2 linked regions of the Oreochromis niloticus genome follow. The main gene of each other region encodes a partner of the protein of the gene in region 2 in a complex. Links are inferred from orthologs where the notes say so. Each region holds a gene or a part of one and is shown on either strand. Other genes may lie near its edges.

Evidence for each region. The genes of interacting proteins can lie anywhere in the genome.
Region 1: the proteins of ints11 (region 2) and wdr73 are in contact, whole or in part, in a cryo-EM structure (PDB 8R22), measured with the Homo sapiens proteins. The link is inferred for Oreochromis niloticus from reciprocal best matches to the Homo sapiens genes INTS11 and WDR73. Residues at the interface, in NP_060341.2 of Homo sapiens: Tyr206, Thr208, Thr209, Ile210, Arg211, Asp212, Ser213, Arg215, Cys216, Arg217, Glu218, Arg219, Asp220, Leu222, Lys223, Lys224, His226, Phe255, Arg258, Met259, Leu364, Val384, Glu385, Tyr386, Ser388, Lys418, Lys419, Glu421, Phe422, Gln425; in NP_116245.2 of Homo sapiens: Asp5, Asp6, Leu8, Val9, Ser11, Leu12, Tyr15, Gln16, Phe18, Tyr19, Ala20, Phe21, Asp22, Leu23, Glu50, Leu52, Arg59, Leu68, Phe69, Pro70, Glu71, Arg72, Asp73, Phe74, Lys75, Val76, Gly79, Phe81, Asp116, Ser117.

The regions. Positions count from the first base shown.
Region 1 is NC_031976.2:29,726,387-29,733,987, forward strand, and holds the start of wdr73 (integrator complex assembly factor WDR73), read right to left. Parts: upstream 3,017-7,601; 5' UTR 2,924-3,016; coding exon 2,865-2,923; intron 1,917-2,864; coding exon 1,849-1,916; intron 1,704-1,848; coding exon 1,618-1,703; intron 1,520-1,617; coding exon 1,431-1,519; intron 1-1,430. UniProt on the Homo sapiens protein: Component of a multiprotein complex required for the assembly of the RNA endonuclease module of the integrator complex. Associates with INTS9 and INTS11 in the cytoplasm, stabilizing the INTS9-INTS11 heterodimer and blocking the active site of INTS11.
Region 2 is NC_031984.2:8,378,758-8,385,833, forward strand, and holds the start of ints11 (integrator complex subunit 11), read right to left. Parts: upstream 3,010-7,076; 5' UTR 2,814-3,009; coding exon 2,786-2,813; intron 2,681-2,785; coding exon 2,583-2,680; intron 793-2,582; coding exon 719-792; intron 623-718; coding exon 394-622; intron 276-393; coding exon 177-275; intron 96-176; coding exon 61-95; intron 1-60. Other genes in the region: cptp (ceramide-1-phosphate transfer protein), read left to right, coding at 3,855-3,858, 4,028-4,157, 6,140-6,662.

The DNA of each region.
Region 1 (7,601 bases), on a different chromosome or scaffold from region 2:
GTAATAATAAACTGAACTGTAGAAAATATAAAGAGTACCTGAATAAAATAATTTCTGTGCTCTAGCCTTGCTGGGTGCTTTTCAGTATGCCTTTTTTGAAGGAGAACTCTTTTCATTCATTGCTTTGAAACCCAAGTTTGGTGCAGGAAAAGGCATCACATGGATTAGAGAACCTTGGAAAGAGTAAAGCAAGTTTCTCTCCCTGAAGTGGGTCACAACCAGTGTTTGATGAAACAAAGTAACAGTACTCCAATTACTGCTGATTTTTCAGTTTAAATAAGCAGGTAAGTACTTTTCAAAGAAGTAATCAACAACTGTTAAAATGTTACATTTTCCTGCTCCTGAATAAAACCCTGAAGCATCTGCAAAGTTTCTGTCTCTCCCCGATTTCTTGGGATACAGCCGTGGGCTTAGGAAATGTTGTATTTATTATTGTTAAGGAGTTAATTTTCTCAGCAGATAAGGCTGTAATCTAACAGATTACTTTATAATGGAAGTAAATTGTAGACTGTAGTCAACTGAGTTGTTTCCTTAACCGCCAAATTATATAGTTGTTAAAAGTGGATAATTCTACCTATGGTAGCTGCTGTAGAACAGACATGTTTTAGTCAGCCAAGAGAGATCAAAAACATTGGATACAGACTGTACGCCATGTTTGGACTGGCTCTGCCGAAGAGTTTTTGCCTCTGTTAGGAAGGCTGTCAGTCCACTGTTTACCTCAGCTGTCAATGCTGGGTGATAAACATCCACCAGTTAAAAGTTTTACAGTCTCCTCCAGAGGAAATAGATGTGGATGCTTCTTAGTCCAGTACAGCCCAATAAGTCAGAGAAGCTCACTTCTGATTGATGACAGCAATACTGAGGTGAGTTATTAAGGATATACTTAACTGTTGGTTGCACTGCTGTTTTTCCCACTGTTAGCCAGTATTAGATGCACTTCAAAGACATTTTCAATAATATTAACTTATAACCAGCTGTTGTTGTGTTAAAGCCCTGACTTCAGATCGGGTGATGAGGCTTGAGGTGAGGAGGAAGAGGATGATTGATTTAATTAAGATGCCAGTTGTGTTGTCTCTTTCCTTCCCGTTTTCATTTCTTTTGTCAAGTTGACCTTTTCTAAGGTGATCAAACATATCTTGAGTATGAAGTTGCAGGTACGAATTTCAATGTCGCTCCACTGCACCGTAGGAATGCCCATGACTTCTCTTCTCCTCTGCCTTTGTCACATGCATAAAACAGTTTTAGTCAGAAGTGAAGTCCTTAGCAGCTGGTAATACAAATACAGGGGAGGAACGTGGCGGTCTCCACAAGCTGCAAAATACTCCTGTTGGAAGTTGTTTCTATTAAATAACCTCAAAAATGACTGGCCTTACCTTTAATGTAACACGTTACTTATAAGGGTAATTTATCCAGCACTGGTCTGAACTCACCTTGTTCCAGGGATGTGTATGAGGCAGCGAACCGGGCCATCTGTGAAACCACCATGGGAAACTTTAAAATCCCGCTCTGCGCAGAGACTCTGAACACAACAGCAAACAGGAAAAGTTCAGAGTAACATCTGAATCGCCTCCTAGAGAAAAATAAATTCAAAGTTTGGACTAATGTCCTGATTTTTACCTTATTTTCATCAGCGAGAAGTTTCAGCGGCAAGCGAAGTTCTAAAATTTCATTTTTGGACTGACTATAGCCTGCGACACAGACCGCTACAAACACACCAAAAAACACTGATTAATACAAATTATTTGGCTGATAAATAAAAGAGCTGAAAAGCTGTCTTCTATAACAGCAAAATCAGAACCATGTTTTTCAACCCACATCATCATATTTTAAAATATTAGATCAACTTACTCTTCCCTGACGTCCACTCGAGGACCTGGGTGGGATGTTCAAGCTGATACACATGAAGGTCTTTGTACCTAAAGGAAAATAAAATTTCTGTATAGTTTATCATAAAACACAGTGAAACTCAATTTTGACAGAACTTATATATGGCTGAGCGCTACAGTCAAAAATGAAGGTGAGCCCACTTTATGTTTGTTGTAGTGACTCTATAAGATTAAAAAAGTATATTGAGTTAAAAAGGTTTTTTTTAAAGGAATTCAGAAAAATATAAATTCACTCTGCCTTATGCAAACCTTTCAAAAATAGCCCTACAGCTGCATTCCTGATGTTTATTTCAAGTTGTTTGGTGTCTCCTTGCAAATTGTCCATTTTATTGTGCACCTTCTTCTTTGTATGTAGTGCTGTTTGGTATTTATTCCTGTTGTCTAACTATTTAGATTTCCTGCACTGCCTCTGTGGAGCACCCAGCATGTCGTTGAACATGTACAATGACAATAAAGGGATACACTATCCCATTGTTTCAAATGCCTTTTAACCGCGACACCAGACTCCATTCACAATTTATGATATTTAATATTTTCTGTCTACAAAATCAACGCGACCATTTTTCTTTTTACCTACAACTTGATTCCTACAGTCGAGAGACCATATCATATAATTCGTCTTGATTATGAAACTCGAATTCACTAAATTTATTTTGAAAATGAATCTATTCACACATATAACACATCTTAAACCACGAATAATAAGCTAAGTGTAGGAGATAAACTAATACAAGGTGACAATTTGGAGCTTATTTAAATTTTAGATGAGATATCCGTAAGCCGAATTTAAATAAATTAAATATAAAAATAAGTACATATAAATAACGTTTTGTTGCGGTGTTTATTAACAATCTAAAGCTGCTGGAGGATAAAATGCCTTAAAGTTAGAGTTTGCTTTGCAAAACTGGTAATGTTAGTTAGCAAGTAGTAATAAAAATATAAACTTGACGGTTCTAACAAAGTAAAAAGTTTACTCACGTTTTCAGTGACTCGATAAACCAGTCATCTAAAATATCATCAAACTCTGCATCTTCCATCTCTCCCAACAGCTCCTGCAGGCATGGGTGCTGTTGCTCATCCACCACTTCCTGTTTATTTCCCTCTGCTTTTTATTCTACTGCTTCTTGGCTTCATGAAAACTACACCGCCACCTGCTGGTCTGGAGGAAGCGAGCCTCAATCTAAAATCACATATAGGGATTTAAGTTTAGATAGAAACAAAAATAACAGCAGGGTCTGTTCTAGCTTAATCAATGCAAGAAGCAGATAATCAAGTACAGAGGCCCGTGCAGCTGACTAGTAGCCTAAAGGTTGCTGGTTTGAGTCCCTGTTCAGATGCTGGCATGGACTCCATATGAGCTGTTTTTGTATACGACCCCCTGACAAAAATAAGCAATAAACAAATATCTGAATGAGCTGATATTCAAAAGCACTAATTTGCTTGATTCCATATGCAGCTTTCTACAGCCTGAAGAACACAAGTCACTGCAAGATGATTTGCAAATTTATTCTCTTGGTAACCCTGGCATAGCTAACACAGCACAGCCTCTTTAACTTTTAATTTGATATTTTAGGCCAACACAGCCAGAGGCGGCCTAAAATATCAAGACTCTCATTAGTGGTTTCAAGCTTTACAGCAGATGGTATCTACATACATACAATTAAAAGATAAAACAGCATACAGGAATAAATTCGAATCACATGATATTCGCTTGTTAAACTGATTCAATAGAAAATAGTAATTTTAGATATTTGACGATGAACTTACAGTAAGTTCTGAATTTTGCATCCCAGCATGAGGACGTAGCTCTGAGACTGCTTTTTAGTCTCAAATCACTTGTATTTATATAGTGCCAGTTCACAGCAAGGTGGCTGACGTTGTGAGGTAAAGACCCTACAGTGTTAGTGAGAAAACCACAACAATCGATCTCCCACGGGTAAGCACTTGGAGGAACCAGGTTCTGTGTGGGGCGGCAAAAGAAGAGAGAAGAAGGTGAGCATAGAGAGATGAGGTTAAAACGGGACGGCGCGATCATGAGGTTGGTGGTTTGATTCCCAGCTCATGCAGTCTGCGTGTTGAAGCATCCTTGAGGAGCTTAAAGCTGCAGAATAAAGTGCTGTGGGGATGAGCTGATGCAGCTTGCAGTAAAAAGTTCTTTGCTTAAGTAATAAAGGGGTGAATATATATCAGCCTATTTTCCATTTATTAACACAACTCAAAGTCTCCAGCATAACTAGAAGGATTTCGAGCCACCGGTCTAATGCGCGTACAGTTGTTCAGTTTCATGTACACGGTGCCAGTTCACAACAGTCATCTCAAGGAGGCCCAAACGAGTGTTTGAAGACAAACGCAGTGGAAGGCCGTGCTTAATATTACGGCACTCTGACAGCACATTTATGGTTTGCTGCCTTCAGATGGCCACAGAGGCTTAATGAACTGAAGACGCAGCATTTTTTTCCAAACAGTACAAAGCAGCTGTCATCAACAGACGCCCTGTTGTAGCTGCCTTCATTATAAAATACCACACAGATGAGTGAATTGGAAGTCATAAAAATGCCAACAGTGCGTAACAAGGAAGCACAGGAAATTACCAAGAGTCTCAGAAGAATATTTTCAAGACAACTTTTGGGATGTTTACCCTCCTCCAGCCTTTAAGCTGTGCTTCCGGTTGTCTCTATCAGTCTAACGAATGCAAAATAGTTGAGAGCGATTAACAGATTTTGAATTTTGTAAATAAAGCATGGTGTACTTGGGGAATATTTCCCCCTTTAGCAGAGCAACAGAGTAAAAGTTTATTTTGATAATGTGATTAAATGAAGCTGCCAGAAGGAAAACAAACCAAAAACAGATGTTATGTTTGGGATGCTGGGCGTTTCTAGTTAAATGATAAAATATTCAAGCCATGAGTGCAGCTTATATTTGTCCTCAATTTTCTCCAGGACAACAGCTGAAACCTCATCAATCCCACCATGCTCAAAGCTTCATCTCTCCGGCTGTTGTTTGCCGCTTTCTTCTCCTCCTCCTCCTCCTCAGCAGCAGTCCTGTCGTTCTGTTCCTCCGACTGTCTCACAGCAGACAATCTGAGTCACATTTCAACCTTCCATTTCTCCTGTTACTCCTTCAGAAACAAGTGAGTCCAAATCAGAGTCTGTACAGGACAGTGAAGACGTGCGTGCCTGCGTACAGGGCTGCAGGAACTGTTTGCTCTAACAAAATAATCAGTGACAGTTATTTCAAAGATTTGAGGTTATCATGTCTGAATCCTCATTTAGTAAGACACTAAAATATTGGTCTGTCAGTGCTTTAGATACGATAAAATGATGCTGCTGACAGATAGCAAGGAAAGACAGAGCTGGCAGTGCATTAAAGTTGAAGAGGTGAGGGTGAAGAAGATGAAGCTGGGAGAATGGAGAAAGGAAAAGGAAGAGGAACCCCCTGTTCAGCCTGAGCTGAATCAGCAGCTTTCACTTTCCTGTAGACATCACATGCTTTTCTTTCAAATCCAGTTGCCACTCTTCCCTTTCTCCCCCTGCCCCTTTTGTCTTCTTTGCCTCTTTTTCTTGCTTTTTCAGCTGTTTCTTTTCTTCTTTTACTGCTTACTTTGACTTTTGTCAGTTGTTTCTTGTCCTTCTTCCATTCTTTCTTCTTTCTCTTTCTCAGCTGCTTTCCTTTAGGTTATTTCTTTTCGTGACTTTCTTTATCCAGGCCATGTTTCTTATAGTTTCTATGCAAGCATTTCTTTTCTTTTCTCTTTCTGTCACCCCCACTCAGGCTCTTCTGTGGCATCCTGGATTTCGCCTGATCAAGGTTTTGTCTCTTTTGAACATTTACAATAAGCCCATGTGTCCAGGTCCAGTATTTCACTGCCGCCTTTTTACCTCTTCCTGGCAATCGCTAAATGGATTATCAGCCTCTGAACTGGCCCTCCTGCTGGTTGTCCAGCAACTTTTTCCTTTCCATCCACCTCAAGCAATGTGGTCAGCATCACACTCCTCTTTGTACAATGATAACATCTTGCTTTTTTTCTGTTTTCAGTTCATACTCACACAGGCTGCTGCACATTGTGAACTTTCTGGCCAACATCTCTTTGATGCGCTGCATGGCTTCTTTTCTTCCCTCTTTTAATTGGCAATTTTCAGCCTGAGTGGCTTTAAAGGCTTTTTGCACCTCCCTGTTGATATTTTGTGGAGCAGTACTCAAGAATCCTCCTTTGCATATCCAATTGTTTATTTAGAAGAAAGGCACTCAAGCCTCCTGGAGATGGTGTAGGTGGTGTAAATTCTGACTCCAGGAATCATTAAAAGGGCATCTGATAAAATGTATTGATTGGACAGTGGGAAGCTGCGGGAAACAAATTTAAAATCTGGGGTGTATATCTGACGTCACCTGTTAAAATTCTTTTCATTTTTTAAGCTTCTAAATTTTACTCAGCAGCAGCGACTGAACACTGAGTTTCATGAGTCAGTAAAACAGTCACACATCGCTAAACACATTTAACATATTACAAAACCAGCAGCCACATGCTTTCAACAAAGAGCAGCCTGTTTCACATTAGCTGTCACTGCTGAGTCTATCACACCACAGAGATGTGAATGGCCTCTGTCCCAAAGCTGTTGTTTCACACTCGCAGCAGGAGAGCCTGGGTTTTCCTCAGATACGATAATTGTTGGACTATCTATCAGACGAGCCGGATAACTGCCTCCGGCTGAGCGTCAAAAGGATCCCAGCAGGTCCTAATGCTTTCTGCCAATAAGCAAAGACAATAAACAGTGTGCAGAATTTCTTCACAGTCTGTGATGTGAGGAAGACTGCTTTACCAACATTGGTTCACAAACAAAGAGGTTTGGCAATACTCAGTGACAGCGTACAAGAAAGCATTACACAAATAAATAACTATTTATTTACTTCTGTGATATTGATTTAAGTCCTTATTTGATTAAATATTTTGAATGAGAAGAGGGGCATTTTTAGTTTCCAGCCAACTCTGTCCCAGATGGTATTCTGTATTTGATGCCATCTTACATGCAGTGATTCCTTAGTTTATGGGGGATTTGCTCCATTTTCCTTCCTGCTTGTGAAGAACTCTTCCAGCTTGTTGAGCTTTTTGAGTCTGCTGGAGGTGGGATCCACATAAGAACTGTGAAATACTCCAAAATAAAAGTGACCTCCTTTCTGATACTTTCTAGAGGCCTTTGTAAAACCATGAAGGACTCTGTTGCAGGTATCTCAATCCTGTCTTATTGCTCTTGTTTGCAAGTCAAGTGCTTGATGGCTTGAGGTTGGCTCCAAAAGTGAGTCGAGCCCAAGTTAACAGCATTAAAAACCATGTTTACAGCCAGGTATCTATGGTTAGTTTCTCCCCTCACTGCAACTATTTAGTTGTAGTTTCTTTGGTTAAATCCATCCATCTGGACACTATTAAGGCTTACACATAAGTGTGTGGCTTTGTTGACTGACAGGTATACCAGCATAGAGAGCTGTGTGTTACATATCACCTTGGACCTCTTCAGCAGTTTTTTTTAAAGGAAAAATCTGACCAACCAAATCCTCTTGGTCCATTACTTCAATTTTGATTTGTGTTGTTTTTCGATTTGGCCTTAGCTGATAACTTTGCACTTATTTCTGGTGGCAGCCAAAACACTAACGCTGAGGCTTCAAAATTTAGAGCCCCAAACTAATGTGTTAAGACACCTTGAGGGCCCAGAAACACTGCAA
Region 2 (7,076 bases):
GCTGAATGTGTTGACATAAAGACCAGAAGATTATCAAGAAATGCAGTAAAGTTCACTTACCCTAAATGCCTGTCCGGTGTCATGTTATAGTCACCCTAAAATAAAAAGAAATTATTCTCAGATTGCAGTTGATAAATTCACCTACTGTGACAGAGCGCAGACTTGTTTACACTTACGGTGTAGACCACAGACTCTGATCCCACTTTGATGTGAACCATAGCAGCTCCCAGGACATGGCCTGCATAGTACGCCTTGATCTCCAGCTCATCATCCACCTGCCACCAGCACAAAACAAACAGCTTGAATTGCCATCAAAAGAGAAGCAGCAGCTGGCGCAGAAGCAACTATTAGATGTGTGTGCGTGTGTGGTCAAAAATGATGTCAGCACTGCACCTGGACAGTCTGGTGCAGGTTCAAAGGAATCACTTTCTTCATGCAGTCCTTGATCATCTGCGAGGTGAAGAAGTTGGTTTCTCCTTTTTTGTCAACGGTGATCTTCCGGAAATCTTCCAGTAAAATGGGACAAATGGCTTTGGTGGGATGGGTCATGTAGATGGGTCCATCATAGCCCACCATCTCACTCATGTAGGGCAGAGCACCGCAGTGGTCCAAGTGGAAATGGCTGAAAAACGTAGAAAGGTGTACTATGTTACACACAAGGTTGAGATGATTTAAAAAAAGGTGCAATATAAAGAAGATAACAAATATGACAACAAACCTGATGATCACACAGTCTAAGAAATCTGTCAGACGCCCATTCTGTGTTATATAAGAAAAGTCTGGGAAACGTCTCTGCAATGATAAAACAATCTGTTATAGGACTGTTACTAAATGGAAATCTTCTTCTTTCAAAGGTAGAAACAGTGCATTCAAAAGGAGAGTCTCTTTTCTAGAAGAACTGTTTCATAATAGCTGTTTTTAAAATGCATTCCAAGTCAGAATGTACACAAATACCAGCAGTTTGCATAGAGAAGCCCAGCCCACCTCACCCACCTCCGCCAGCTTGGTCACACCTTTACTGCCAATGTAATCACTGAATAACAGAGTCCCACCCCACTCAGTGTCTGGGTATTCTGAACTGTCAGTTAGTGCGCAGACACAAACGATAGTCAATGCGCGTTTCCTGACTCAAAGGCGCAAAGAAGCAACCCTCTCATCCATTGGAGAAAACCTCAACGTACAAGTAGGGAACACAAGCTGTCTGCTCTCACCTACTGTAGGGCAACTCAAGAGGTTCCATTGCCTGAGCTACTCGCTGAGGTGAGTCCAACTATATCAAATTTGAATCTCTCATCCTCACACACCAACTCAGGCTCCTTCTCCACCCAAAAAGTGATGTTCCATATACCACAAGCTAGTTTTTGAAACCAGGGATCGTCAGACTTCAGACCACCGTCTGATCCACCAACCCCCACTTTGTCCTTTTATTGCAATAAATTTGATGGTAAGGATCAAAGACAGTCCAAGACAGTAACAACTGTGTGATACTGCTAACACACCATCGGTTCTTCAAAAACATCCCGCAGACAGCAGGCTAACACAAAAAAAGTGAAGAACCCAAAGTTATGTTCAAGCTGAGTGTATGCAGACCCAGGCCCAGCAGGTAGAGCCTGATCTTCAACATGTAACGAAAGCATTGATGAGCAGTCAGACTCTTCTCTCTATCTTCTTAAGTAGAATCACTGTGGTTACCCCTTTTAAGACTCTTTGGGCTGATTTTCAATTTTACTTTGTGTTATTGTTGGTTTTAAATAAGAAATATCATTAGTGTCCTCATTAGGATAGGTATTTGTGTCAGTGTGTGGGACTGTAGTCATGGGTTTATATTAAATGATAATTATGTGACACTGTATTTCAGGTCAAGTTACACAGGAATGTGAAAGTGATGTTAGTAGTAGCAGTGTAATGAATTAACTTCTCCGATGAGTAATTTAGAAATATACTGCATTCATTTTACAAAAAGTAAACAGTAATGTGTACCACATTACTTTTCTGAGTAACAACTCCAAAACTGCATACAGATATCTGCTGGCTCCCCAAAAGCCCCAAAACATTTGCCAAAACCTGTATAGCACACATCAGCAAAATAGAAGGGTTGGAAATTGCGCTTCAGCCCTCAATGTGGTTAAGGAAAACTATATATGTTAACAAACAAAAAAAACCCCCAAACACTCCAACATGTCCAAACCATCTCAGCCTTAGCTCTTCAAATCACTCAACATGAAATGTCTCTCAGACGTACTCATTTCTAATCCTATTGAAAATCTTAACTTCTTCAGACCTGCCTCCTGTCTTTTTGTCAGCAGATCTCACTACAGTCTTGTAAACCTTCCCAGTGTAAAGCAGCCTAGGTAGTCTTAACTTTTGCTGTCATGTTTGAAACACTTCTGTTTCACTTTAGAGTCTTTAATTTTGCCCAAGACTCATGTAGGGCTTTGATTTGGGATTCTTGTCAGTATGCTATGTGCAGGTTGTTTATAACTACTAATAAGATAAAGGAAACCAATAAGGGTAAAAAATGCCATAGTGTTTAAATTACATGACTGTAATGTTTGCTATAACAAATGCACTATGTCACTCACATCATCGTTGTAGCCCATGTGCATCCCACAGTCCAGCATTATATTTTTGCCTCCGATGGAGACGAGGATGCAGCTCCTGCCCACATCCTGTCCAGCACCTTGGAAGGGCAGAACAGAAGATAAAAATTCAGAATTACACTCCTTTAGTAATGGTAATAAACACAACAGTGCGCAGCAGCTAGCTAGCTAGCTTCGGTACTCACCGAGTGGCGTTACTTTTATTTCAGGCATGCTTTTTCATTGGGCAGCCTTTTTTTTATATACACAGGTAAATGACACCAAGGTGACCTAAACGTCCAGGATGTGTCAGCTGAATAACTTCTGAAATATATGGGAACGTTTATTGTGTGTAGCTTTAAAACATGCAGCTAATTTCATGCACCGACTTTATTTTTTTATCAGCGTCGGGCTAACAGGAAGGACTTCCGTCCAGTGCTTTCACAATAATACACCCCTTGCTATGAAAGCCTGTAGAAAACAGGTGGAAAGCACCTGGGTAATGTTTTGAAGACTATTTCCATATGTCATTTTGATAATCTATACTTCCTTTCAAGCAAACCTTGAAAACAAATTCAAGTGTCTATATTTCTTGTAAGAAACACTATGTCTTCCACTTTTAATTATACTGAACTGATAGATGTGTGAATAGATTTTCAGCATAAGGAGTATGAGCCCTCTAAAAATGAGTAACCAAGAAAAAGTGGCATCACGTAGTCTGGATAGCATTAAGAATAAAAGGGAAGGTTTACAAGATGCTAATAAGACCTGCTATGGTTTGGAAACTGAAACGGTGTCACGGGATAACTGGCCAAAGTGATATTTAAAGTCCTCTCATCCTGCCCAGCTGCTTCTTACTCTTTGCTTACTTATTATTGCTTCACTGCCTACACACCAGTTACCATTTCAAGTGACATTTCAGGTAGCAGTTCACCTGTCTGGAGCTCTTTTTTTTTAACCTAATTTCAGCACTGCCTGCAGGGATTTCAGGTGCATTCATTTATAAAAGTTCATTTCTGGCATACAAAGGCTATGTTGTTTGTCACTTTTTATTTTTCACACATCAGTGACGTTTATGCAACAAAAATATTTGTTTAGGTGCGGGGGGATCAGTGTTTGGGTTATAATAACTTCTTTCAATAAGTCCAAGAAGCAATTAAGGTAAAAATTTCCCTCGCTTTTATTTTGAAGACAAAGTCGCCAATTTAGAGCCTGCGCAGTAGAACCGGATAAGAACAGACAGGATCTGTCACTTCACGTTGTCGAGAAAAAGAAATGCGTAATTTTTCTTTCAATTTTAACTTTTCTTGTAGGTGACGAGTTCACTTCTTGATCGTTTACCACAGGGCTTACATTTTTACCCAGTTCCGGTTTGTTTGTAGCCCCGAAATACATTTTTTTCATTCATTTTTTACGTGCCTGTTTGTGTCATTTGCACTTCCTGGTAGAAACCATGGCAGGCTCAGAAGACCAGAAGTTCTCCCTCCAGGAGGTCCTAGACACTTTTAAGTTGTGTCTGTCGGAAAATAAAGAAGTCTATCTAGAACAGTACGTCGCTGGATGGCGTGGGCTTGTAAAGTAAGTGATCAGTGTAGAAGTAAACTAAGGCGAGCAGATCACAGCAAGGTAAATGTAGGACAGAGTGTTTACTGTGAGCTAAGATCAAGTCTTGAGATTTATATCTGATCTAGCTGACTCTTCTTCTTTAAAAAAAAAATCTCTCTCTCTCTATCTATCTATCTATCTATCTATCTATCTATCTATCTATCTATCTATCTATCTATCTATCTATCTATCTCTCTCTCTCTCTCTCTCTCTCTCTCTCTCTCTCTCTCTCTCTCTCTCTATATATATATATATATATATATATATATATATATATATATATATATATATATATATACATACATGTTAAGTTTCATATGTTTAATGAATAAATAAAAGTGTCACCTTCATGGCATGAAAACTTTCCAGGTTACAGACCCTCAAAGAACATAGGGGTGGGCTAAAATTTGCTGCTTTTTAATTAATTATTTTATGAGTCCTTACAGCTTCATTATTGCAGGAGATGTCCACAGGTTTGAAAAACACATTAAAGCTCTTTTCAAAATCAATTGTATAACCTGAAATCAAATCCCCCTTTTGTTCAATTCTGTTTTCTGCATCCAACTTTGTGCCTCAGTATCATGTCTCCTTTCCCTCAGCCCCAACTGCTTGCACCAGATGGCTGCCCCTGACTGAGCCTGGTTCTCCCTTTTAACAGGTTTCTTCCTGTTAAAAGGAAATGTTCTTTCCCACTGTTGCCAAAATGCTTGTTAATAGGGGGTTGTCTGATTGTTGGGGTTTCTCTGTATTATTGTAGGGTTATTGTGCCTTATAGTGTTAAGCACTTTAAGGTGACTTTTGTGATTTTTAAATAAATAAAATTGGATTGTATTGAAAGTTATATTGTAGTTTCAATTGCAAAACTACAGCAGTCGAATGTCTGTGAAACAAGGGTCATATCACAGGCTGGGATAGGTGGCTGATCAAAACATATGAAAGGGTCTACTTTACCGACAGACTGATCCCAGGATCATATTCCTGGTATTAGTGTACCTTCTTGGCTAGGTCTCTGTGGAAAAAGAGATTTTATTCTCAGTGGACTTTCTGGTTTTAAAAAAAATCAATAAAATGTGATGACAGAAGCAGGCCGACAATACAAAGTATTTGCAAAACTGGTAATGCTAGCATGAGCGTTCCTTTTTAAAGCTCCATGTTTTTCTTATATAAGAGCAATTAAAGGATTCAATAGAAAAAAGAAACGAATACCAGAGCTGTATAGTGAGGGTTTTGTTGCATTCAAAAGGCAAACAAACAGTTTTGTTTATCAAAGGGTCAAAATATCCATAAAATTCATTTAATATTGTTTAATTAAGGTAACACAAACTCATTGCCTTTACTTTACATCAATCGATTGTGCTTGCGTGCCCTGCCAGGCCCTTTTGAAGGCCCACTCTGAACCACAAAAATCCTGAATGTCACACAGCAACAAACGGTGTGACTTTCAGGGCTGTTTGATTATAAGGTTTAGTTAGTTAGTTAGGTTCACTGAAATACAACTAACTTAAAATTCAACTGACTAAACACACAACAGCTTGACAGAGGGTATTGTTTGGACTCTCTTCAATTTTAGGAGCAAAAAATAAAAGTAAAGGAATCAAAGGCAACACGATAGCATTACGAAACAGGCTGAGGCACAATAATAACTGCATCTTGATAATATTTTAGAAATGACTGGAATTTGTAATTATAATTGAAATTCAAATTGCAGCAGCTTTCATAAATGTTGCATTTTTATTGTGAAAAGTATGTGAAATATTTTGCAGCAGGAACAGCATAAAAGGGAAAGAGTTGAGCTTCAGCTCTGGTCTGTGAGTGAATTCTTGGAATTTCTCATGTGAACTGAACTGATTATAATTTGCAGACATTTAGAATTTACTGATTATACTCTCAGCTGTAATAGTAGACCAAAAGGACACCCAGGTGTTAACTGAGTGTGTTTTTACTCCTTGTAATAGGTTTCTGAACAGCTTGGGAAGTGTCTTTGGCTTCATTTCTAAGGATGCTGTCGGCAAGATCCAGATCCTTGTGAGTTATATGAAGGGTGAGAACGCTTCTCACTATGCTACTGTGCAGTCGATGGTAAAATACGAACTGGACAATAATCTCGTGGATGTGAACAAGAAAGGAAGCCACCCAGAGTCTGGCTGTCGTACTCTGCTGAGGCTCCACCGCGCTCTGAGGTGGCTGGAGCTCTTCCTGGATCGCCTGCGCACCAGCACAGAAGACAGTAAAACATCTGCCCTGTGTGCAGAGGCCTACAACGAGTCCCTTGCCCAGCACCATCCGTGGATGATCCGTAAGGCTGCGGGCATGGCGTTCCTCGTGCTTCCTGGTCGCCAAACCTTTTTCGAAGTAATGAATGTTGGCCCGCCTGAGCAAGTTGTGGCCAAGCTGGGGGAGGCCCTACCTCTCATCTCTGAGGTGTACCAGATCACAGAGGACCTATATGCTCAACATAACCTGCTTGATTTACCTTAGAAGCAAGAAGTGCTAATATCTGACGGCTCATACTTTATATAATTAAATATTTGTAACTTGTCCTTGGTGAAAGGCTGCTGAACAAGATGCTTCTGCTGCTTGGATTGTGTCATAACTAGCTGTAATACCACTAAGATTAATTTTGAAACTACTGTATACATGTTTTAACATAAGATTGTGTACATTTTCCTCCACGTAATGGACCTTTGAATGTATTTTTATTAACTAATCTTTTGCTTTTAAATCAACAGTTCCCAGTCTAGGGCCAGAGATCATTTACAGTATATTAATTAATATTAATATATTGTTTGAAGATTTTACATTTTTAGACAGGTAGAAATATATAATTTAAAAAGCTGCACCTTTTAAACTTTTGACCATCCACCCATCAATCTTTCTGAATAAATGAGCCCA